Linked DNA regions of Coturnix japonica. The protein of the gene in region 1 binds, or shares a complex with, the protein of each later gene. Links are inferred from orthologs where the notes say so. Each region holds a gene or a part of one and is shown in the gene's direction. Other genes may lie near its edges.

Region 1 (4,561 bases):
CCCTCAAATTTCATGTCATCTGCAAATTCACCGAGGTGCATTCTACTCCATTGTCCATATTGTTAATTAAGGTATTAAGCAGGTCTGGACCTGCTATAAACTGCTGGAGTTATTACAGTGACTTCAGATAAAAGTCCGCTCTTCACATCTGCCATATTTTTAATCCAAATATGCAGATAGACAATTCACCATGAGGAAAAGGTGGGACATAAAGAACTGAAAAACACAAATTCCAAGTTGTTGTATTTACTACAGCACTTCTGTTTCTAAAAGATTAGAGATTCAAACTGAAATGATTTAGAGTAAGTGGTGTGCTGTTTTGACTATGGTTTTGTAGTATAAGGTGGCTATCAATCCAGGTGAGTATTTACATAGAGGAATGGGTAAGCCATCCACCTACACCTTCTGCAATACAAGGAAACAGCCCAAGAGAAAGTTCTGGCTTGCAAATCCCCAACCTGAGTATATCTGAAGTATGATTTGAACGAGAGAGGTGTGGGATTTAACCACACAAGACAGAAAACCTAGCTTAGTATTGCAACACTGCATATGGGTAACCTTGTCTCTGTAAGGGAAGCATTCTCATTTTGTGTCTATTCTGTTGGTGATCTTAGCAGGCTGGTTAGGATGCTCTTGCAAGTTCCTAACACAAGTTTTCTCTAATTAGCATATAACTGGGCTTATCTATTGTCAATTAAGATACTTCCATCTGCCATTTGCTGGAAACTTAAGTGCTTAGCCCAGTTCAGAAAAGCCCATCTAGTCACTGCAAAGAGAAGTGTAGGCAGGAGATAATACTGTGCCTACATCCCATATGTTAGATTTTTTATCTGAAAGTCTACCCAAGTTTCACTCAAAACAGTTAGAAAAGGGGACTGGTTGCTCAGGATAATAATGATAGTAATCAGCTTCTAGCAGCTGAGGTCACATTTGGTCCTTTGGCATTGCCACTTCATGTCACTTTAATCACTACAGCTGAAGCAGCTCAAGATTCTGTCAAAGACTGAGATTCATAGAATGTATAAGTACATTAACCAATGGGTGCCCTTACTCCTGCACAGCATTGTGCAGAAGCTTGTGATCTCCAGAGAGATAACAGATAACATGAAGCAGATTTTTACTGATTTAGTTAATCTAGAGCTAATGCACTACAGAATCAGGAGTAAGAATACTTCCAGGAGGCAATGGTGTGTGGCTTGAGACAATACTAAATGTATCCTGTGCTCAACTTGCTTCACTTCTATGCATATCAAATAAATCACAGAACTCAATATTCAAGTTCTCCTTGGTGCTTGCACAGTACACCCTTGCACCATCCTTCTGCTCCCCACTAAGAGTTGAGACATGTTTTTGGGGCTTACGACTAAGCTCCCCCAAACCAACTATGCTCTCTGACTTGGTAAATTTTCTGTGGCTGCTGCCAACATCACCTTGGTTGAGCATCAGGTTTCAATACAACAACAAAAAAAGCCAAACTAGCAGTGTCCTTGGCAGCAGCGTACCCTCCATCCCCACGCCCCCCCATTTCCCCACAGGCTATGGCGCCGGGCCCACTCCAACACTCCGCCCTCCACCCGCTAGGCCGCCATTGTAAACGCTCCGCCCCTCTCAGCCCCGGCCCCTCCCCTTACGTCGGCGTCGGGGGGCAAGGACGGAAGCTGGTCGGTTGTGAGTCGACTGGAGAAGGTAGCCATGGCGGCGTCGGCTGTGGGCATGGGGCAGCAGTGGGTCCTGGTGGAGATGGTGCAGGCCTTCTACGAGGTGCGTTGCCGTGGGGTGAGGGGGAGGAGGCGAGGTTACGTGCTGCGCGACGGAGTCGCAGTGGGGACCGAGGCCCAACCGGAGCGACTGAGCTCTTTCGCTGCGGCTTCGCACGGCCTTGGTCCTGGTGTAGGGATTTCCTGGTACAGACAGCGGAAAGCGGGGTTCTGACCCCCAGAAGGAAACGGCCGCGAGATAGAGTGGAGCCTCGCCGGCGGCTCCACCAGCGCCTTCCTCCCTGTAGCTCTGTGGAGCGTGCAAGGCTGCAACAGATCTTTTAAAGATGCAGGCTGCTTAAAAAACTGCAGTCTGGAATGACTGTAGCGTGTGTATTTGGGTGAGCGACTGAACAAGCATTTGACTTGCCTCCAGTTAGAATAAGATGTTTTTGTGTGTTTTGTGTTTTTTTTTTTTCCAAATGGTGTTTGAAGTTGCTGGCAAGTAGCATGCTCTTCTCACTGTTTGTGGCTTTTCTTTGATATCGATCAGCGAGGCTGTCTGGAAGGAATTGCTTGTTTGTTTTACTTCTTTTGCAAAACCAGGCAGGTGGTAACAAAACAGCAGTCTCAGTTGGGAAACCTAGTTTATTGAATAGTTAATTCGCAAAAGTTAGGTGTTTTGAGTTTTATTCTCGGTCAGATGTGAATAGATAACATGACTTTGGGTTCAAGTTCTGTCTTAAAGCTGCGTGGCATTGTTGGTAATGCTTGGGAAAAATCCCAGGGGCTGGTTCAAAATGTGATCTCAAGTTCTAGCACTCAAGAAAATATCATCTTTCTACTGTGTGTGTTCTTTGAGTCTTTTAGAAGTAGTACGCACCTGCAGTATAGACTGTAACCTTGCTGAAATGAATTAACTGAACTCATCCTTTAAACCATGTGTCAAATAATGTTGCCGTAACTACACAAAGACCTTAAGTTACTTCTGCTACTAGAGACTATTGAATTTTGTTATTGTACTTTTTGTGCTTTATTTTCAGGCTCCTGCATACCATCTTATTTTGGAAGGAATTCTAATTCTGTGGATAATCAGGCTTATTTTCTCCAAAACATACAAGCTTCAAGAGCGATCTGATCTAACACTTAAGGTATGGTGGAAAAATATTTTTCTTTGTGGGAACAGTTGGTAGAAACTGATGTGTTTGAGCCACTGCTGCAGCAAATTATGCTAGTTTTTCTTAGGATATCAAGGGATAAACTTTTAAGTAAGGAATTGCTTAAACGCTTCAGTTCATGCTTCTAAAGTAAGCATGACATTTGGGAGTCTAAAAATGTTAGAAAACAAAGTAACAAAACTAATATAACCATGGAAAGACTAATGAGCTAGTAAAAAGTGACTTTAGTCTAGGGCAGGGAGTCTCTGGAACAGGTTGCCCAGAGAAGTTGTGACAAACATAAATGCGTACAATGTGTTTTACAGATATCCCTCGACTGCATACAATAAGTTCTTGCTGTGGTACTTCTCATGAGATTCATGTGAAGTTTGTTGAACTTGAGAAGTGGAAAGGAATGTTAATTGCTAGGAATAAAAATTGTAAAAAATTACACTATATGGATACTGGATACGTTAATTTTCAGTTGCAGGGCAAAGAAGAGTAAAGGCTGAAGTGCTAAGAGCTGCAGTATAGCGAAGGGTATGACTTGAGATGTTAATTATTGACACCTGTAGCTTTTTGTTACCGGTATCTGGTGTTTCCTGGATGGCCTGCTCTAGATATTTCTGCTTGATCAAGGAGCTTGGACTTGATTACCTCCTTAGTCCTTTCCAGCCTTAACTGTTCTTGATGGAAAGTACAGATTGAGGAAATGCCTTTTAGTCTGGTGATATATTTAAGTTATTTGACAATTGATAAAGGAAATTTAAATTGGTCCGATCTATGAAAATTGAAGGAATGTTCTCAGTATGAACAGCTGTATTTGGAAGGGAATGTCCTGTAAAAAAGTGCTTATGTGTTGTAAGTAATGTACAGTGCTCGCATTACAATAACATAATGTAAATGTGCAGTATGCAAAGCAGTTCTGTAATTAATTGAAAGTAATCATAAATACAGCAGTGAAGTAAAAATGTGAATAAGCCTTCTGCAGCTGGAGGAGTACTTAAGCAGACTAAAAAATCAAAGCTATGGTGGGATTCTGTCACTTTTGCAGGTGATGTGAAAAAGCTCTTTTGTGTGTGAAATGGCTGTAGGCAGCGAAGAAAATCTTAATCTTCACTAAGAATCTTCAGATAGCTTAAGCTGATCTGTTTAATGCAATATAAGATTCTGTACAAGCTGGCTTTTGTGTTTGTTGAGCTACATGTAGTAGCATGCCAGCAAGGAGAGTGCTGCTTATTTGCCCTCTCCGTTGTCCTAGTTTAATTCAAGCTGTGGTGTCCAGTCTCTGCAACACCAGAAGTAATGACTGGGATTTTTGTATGCAGGCAGTGGAGATAAGTCAGCTCACACAGTGGAGCTCAGACTACCCTTATGACAGCCAGTTACGTAACAATACTTGATGTTTCTTAGTGACTTGCTCTTGGGGATGCTGCCAGTGAAGAGCTGACTTCACATGCTACTTGTTACCAAAGACTACCAGTATTGCATAGCCATATAGCATGATCTGTCAGGACCAGTCTGACTTGGAAAACGAGAAGTAGATTATATGTTGTGCAATCTAGTGAACTTACAAGTCACACTTCTAAAACAGTGAAGAAATCCACCCAGACATGTCTCCTGGGTTTAGTCAAATGTGTAGCAATAGTACTATGAAACCTAGTGCAAGAATTAGCTTTCAGGCTGACTGTCAGCATTCGTAACACT
Region 2 (4,292 bases), on another chromosome or scaffold:
TGTCACCGCGCAGAGGGAGCTGCTCAGCCAGGCAGGAGAGGGGATAAAAATAGAGCTGCCGTGTGCGTGGCTCCCCTGCAAAGCAGGGCTGCTCCCGAGGGATCCCGCCTCCGCTACAGCATCCCTGCAGCACCGGGAGGATGCGGGTGGGTTTTCCAGGTCCCCACAAGGCCGAGGTCCTCCAGGAGCAGCCGGCAGGGGAAGCTGTGGCTGTGGGCAGGGAGATGCTGCTGTGTGATGCTCAGGATGCCCCGGTCCCACCCAGCAGCAGCGATGTGCCGGATCCATCCTCCGGCCCATGAGGGCGCACACGAGGCGCTCAGCTCTACGAGCAGCTGGTGGGGGGGGGGGGGTTGGGGGCTTCAGCACCGAACGACCCCAAAGCTGCCTGAAAAAGACCCCGCCGAGCGGCTCCGCCGTTCTGCACCCTCCGCTGCTCCCCGGCAGGAGCTGAGCGTGCACAAAGCCTGCACAGATGGCTGCACGTGGGGAGAGCAGCGATGGCTGCGCTGACAAAGGCCGGGGACAGATGGTACCCAACAATGCAGCCCCCGGCCCTCAGCCATGCATGGTGCAGTGCATGCACCGAGCTGCGGGGTCACTGAGCACAGATAGCACGGATAGCAGGGCTGCAGGTGCTGAGGTGACCGCATCCCTCCATGCACAAAATGCAGGGGATCCGAAATGCCGACAGCTGGAGCCGATATCCCGATATTCCCACCCAAAACTCCAATGAACCCCAAGAGCTAAAGCTGCTCAGCCAGCAGCACACAGTGCACTATGTCCAGTGGGTATAACTCAGTATAACTCTGCATCACTCTCTTCCCTGGTTAATCCGCAAATTAACTCCATTTCCATGTTACACCCGAACACCGCGCGGTGCTTCACGCATCACGGGCCGTTAATTATGGCTACAACAAGAGAAGCGAACCAACACCGGAGCAGAACACGCACAGCACCGACCCCAAAGGGCACAAGGACCCCCCGGCCGCCCCGCTGTACCGTCACGGCGCAGCGCTGCCCCGCACAGCTCCGCTCCCGCACCGCCCCCCTCCATCCCCGCACGGCGCTGCCGCACTACAGCTCCCGTGGTGCCGGGCGGCGGGGCGGGCCGTGCCGAGGTGTCCGCCGGGAGAACGGCGGAGATCCCGGGCCGAGCCGGGGCTGGAGGATCCGGGCCGGGCGGTGAGTGCGGGCCGGGTGCGGGACCGGCCGGTTGTGCGGGGCACGCGGTGCAGCTCCGCGCTGCGGGGCCGTCGGGGATGGGAGACGGGGAGGGTCGGGCGGTGGGAGCGGGGCTCGGTGGGCGCTGCGGGGCAGAGGGCCGAGCCGTGCCGTGCCGTGCCGAGCCGTTCCGTTCCGTTCCGTTCCGTGCTGTGCCGTGCTGTGCCGTGCCGTGTTGTGCCGTGCCGTGCTGTGCCGTGCCGTGCCGCTGTTGGGATGCGGCCAGGGCTTTGTGTGCAGCTCCGGGTCGCACCGAGCTCGTTCACTTGTAGCGCTTCCTTTGTGTGCGGAGTTTCCCACCCCGCGGCCGTTTCCCACCGCCGTCCGATCCCGGCCGTGTTTGCTGCCGTCTCCGATCCGCCCGTTCAAACGGCGTTGCCATCTTGCAAAGAAAGGCTTTGAAATACTCGTTCTCTCGGGAGTTGGGGATTTGCTGCTGCCAGAGATTGGGATCGCGGCTCCGGCCGTCGGATCAGAATCTCCTGCGTGGCTGGGAACGAGCAGATCGACCGAGATAAGCACCTGCCGCCCTCCCCATCTCTGCAGCGCTCTGATCAAGCCCCGAGCAGGAGCTGCGGAGCCAGCACAGCAACCGGGGTGATGTGTTTGTTGGGTGGCAGAACGGAGCAGGAGGAGGGGATGCTCCTTTGGGGGCAAAGCAGGAGGTGAGGGATGCACGGGCTGCTCTATGGGGGCTGCTGGTGTCAGTTGTGCCACAGGGCAGAACAGCAGCGGGACCCGTGTGTGTGTCAGTGTGAGCAGTGAGGAAAGGCCCCAATCCCCCATGGCAGGGCTCTGCTCACATCCAGCTGTGCTCAGCACAGACGTCAGCACGGCGCTGACCTTCACCCTCAGCCTGGGGGAACGTTGCCCTGCCAGGACCCAACACTGCACAGCTGGGAAGTTGCAGCTCAGAGCAGTGCAGCTCCTGGACGTCCTCCTGCTTTTGTGGTTGGCTTTGGGGTTTCTTTCTGTCTGCAGGTGAATAAATCCCCAGTGTAAAATCAGAGAGCAAACGAGGAGGGATCTGGGCTGGGGGCGGGGAGCTGTGCATGGGAGCTGTGTTTGTTTGGGAGCTGTGTTTGGGAGCTTGCTCTCAGCCGGGCTTGTGCAATAACGTGCAAAGCTCAGTGTGCAATCTGAAGTGAGCAAAGAGCTCAGGCCAGGGCTGCAAACACGAGTCTGGAAATGGAAAAAGATTCAACAAGGAAAGGCTTTTTGAAGCTGGAAAAGGCCAAATTGGAAGAACACAAAGTGTTATCGCGTGGCCTAATGCTTGACCTCCCCACTGCTCTCTTGCAAGAACAAATTAACCTCCTGTGCTGTATTAATGAGAGCTTCACCACCCCAATCACTGCAGTGAGTGAGGAAACTGAGGCAGAGGAGAATTGCTTCACATTCAGCTTTGCCCTTTGCCACCCCACTGCAGTGCACAGCTGCCCTGCTTGGCAGACAGCAGCACGGAGCAGTTGCTCATTGGTTTTTAGTGCCATTAGAGCCATGGTTCATCCCAGACAGAAGCTGCACTTTATCCCACATCAGCTCTGTGTTCCTGCATTGCTCTGAACTTCCATTGCACACTTCACCCCACGTTTGGTCCCCATTCTCTGCAGGGATCCTTCATGCATTTGGGGTCCATCCATTAGCTCTCCTTTGAGTGTTCTCTAGACTAAACAAAGCCGTTTCCTCCGGCGTGGCCTTGCAGGTCATGTTTTTCCTACACCTCTGCTCATTCTCACAGCTCTGCCCTGGACTCCCTCCAGCAGAACTGGACATTACTCCAGCTGAGGCCTCACCAATATCTGGGAGGATTATTTCTCCTGTCTGGCAGGCAGCTCTCCTGTTTACGCATTCCACAGCGGTGGTTGCTTTTCTTCCTTCCCTTTTTCCCTTTCCCCCCATAGTGGGACATCTTCACCTCCTCTTACACTTCAGCACAACCCCCATGTTTCCTTCTGAGAGCCATTCAGGGCTGTGGCCACACTGAGGATGGAGCTGCTCTCCCAGCACTGACCTCCAGCTCCAATCCTGCCCCCCTGCCAGGCTGCTTTGTACCCAGAGCTGACAGCCACTAACCCAACAACCTGCAGATCCAGAGGCTCTTTCCTCCTAAACACAAACCTATTCCAGACCTGAAGCTCCCTGAGTGGCAGTAGAGACATGGGAGCATCCATCAGCTCAGCAGTGAGCATCCCAGAGCTGCACACGTGCTGTGTGAGTGAGCAGCAGGCAGGCTCAGAGCACAGCAGCTGCTGAAACAAACCAGGCCCAGCACTTAGAAAGGGAACTCGGAGTAGCTGGCAGGAACATCCAGAGCATAATGTCAGATCTGGCGTGGACTCGCCTCCTGAGACCAAGAGCTGGACAGAACAGCAGCTTGCTTTGGTTTTCAGCTGTGGAAAGCAAAGCAGCAAAAGCACGAGGCTGAACATCAGGGAGAAGTCATTGCTTTGGGATCTGCTGTGCAAGGGACAGGCTGTATTATTTCCTTGGGAAACAGGCTGAGTGTTTTATGCAAGACCTTCCCTGATCTCTGTGCAAAGATATCCTGCATTACAGCAGCTCTTTCCTGTAATCCCTGATCATTGGTAAGACAGCTCTCAGCTCCCCAGTAAGCTGTGAAACATGGATGAAAACAGTGACCTGAGCACGGACCTGCCTCTGGTTTTGTTTCAGAGGGGTGAAAACAAGAGCCAATATGAACGTGGGAACAGCACACAGCGAGGTGAACCCCAACACCCGCGTGATGAACAGCCGGGGCATCTGGCTGTCCTACATCCTTGGCATTGGGCTGCTGCACGTCGTGCTCCTGAGCATCCCCTTCTTCAGCGTCCCCGTGGTTTGGACTCTTACCAACATCATTCACAACATGGTAAGCCAACCCCAGCTCAAAGAGGCAAAATACTTTGGAGCTGTGGCCATCAATTTCGTGTCCTTTATGTTAACATCTGAGAGCATTGCAGTGGTGAATCCATCCTTGGGATTGCTTGTCTTATCTCCAGTGATATAAAAATACATGAACACATAAACCCAGAGCTATGACTGCTGGGGGCTGAGTGCAGCACAGC

What was found.
Region 2: the proteins of SPTLC1 (region 1) and ORMDL3 are in contact, whole or in part, in a cryo-EM structure (PDB 7K0N), measured with the Homo sapiens proteins. The link is inferred for Coturnix japonica from reciprocal best matches to the Homo sapiens genes SPTLC1 and ORMDL3. Residues at the interface, in NP_006406.1 of Homo sapiens: Ala16, Leu17, Ala20, Pro21, Tyr23, His24, Leu27, Glu28, Leu31, Ile32, Trp34, Ile35, Leu38, Leu39, Ser41, Lys42, Thr43, Tyr44, Lys45, Leu46, Gln47; in NP_001307730.1 of Homo sapiens: Gly92, Val93, Gln94, Phe95, Thr96, Ala97, Lys100, Thr103, Ile104, Ile107, Tyr110, Phe111, Ser114, Tyr119, Gln121, Phe124, Thr128, Leu131, Met132, Leu139, Pro140, His143.

What each region holds. Positions count from the first base shown.
Region 1 is NC_029547.1:39,798,726-39,803,286, reverse strand, and holds the start of SPTLC1 (serine palmitoyltransferase 1), read left to right. Parts: upstream 1-1,624; 5' UTR 1,625-1,692; coding exon 1,693-1,761; intron 1,762-2,740; coding exon 2,741-2,848; intron 2,849-4,561. UniProt on the Homo sapiens protein: Component of the serine palmitoyltransferase multisubunit enzyme (SPT) that catalyzes the initial and rate-limiting step in sphingolipid biosynthesis by condensing L-serine and activated acyl-CoA (most commonly palmitoyl-CoA) to form long-chain bases.
Region 2 is NC_029542.1:3,976,935-3,981,226, forward strand, and holds the start of ORMDL3 (ORM1-like protein 3), read left to right. Parts: upstream 1-1,421; 5' UTR 1,422-1,824; coding exon 1,825-1,889; intron 1,890-3,900; coding exon 3,901-4,096; intron 4,097-4,292. UniProt on the Homo sapiens protein: Plays an essential role in the homeostatic regulation of sphingolipid de novo biosynthesis by modulating the activity of the serine palmitoyltransferase (SPT) in response to ceramide levels.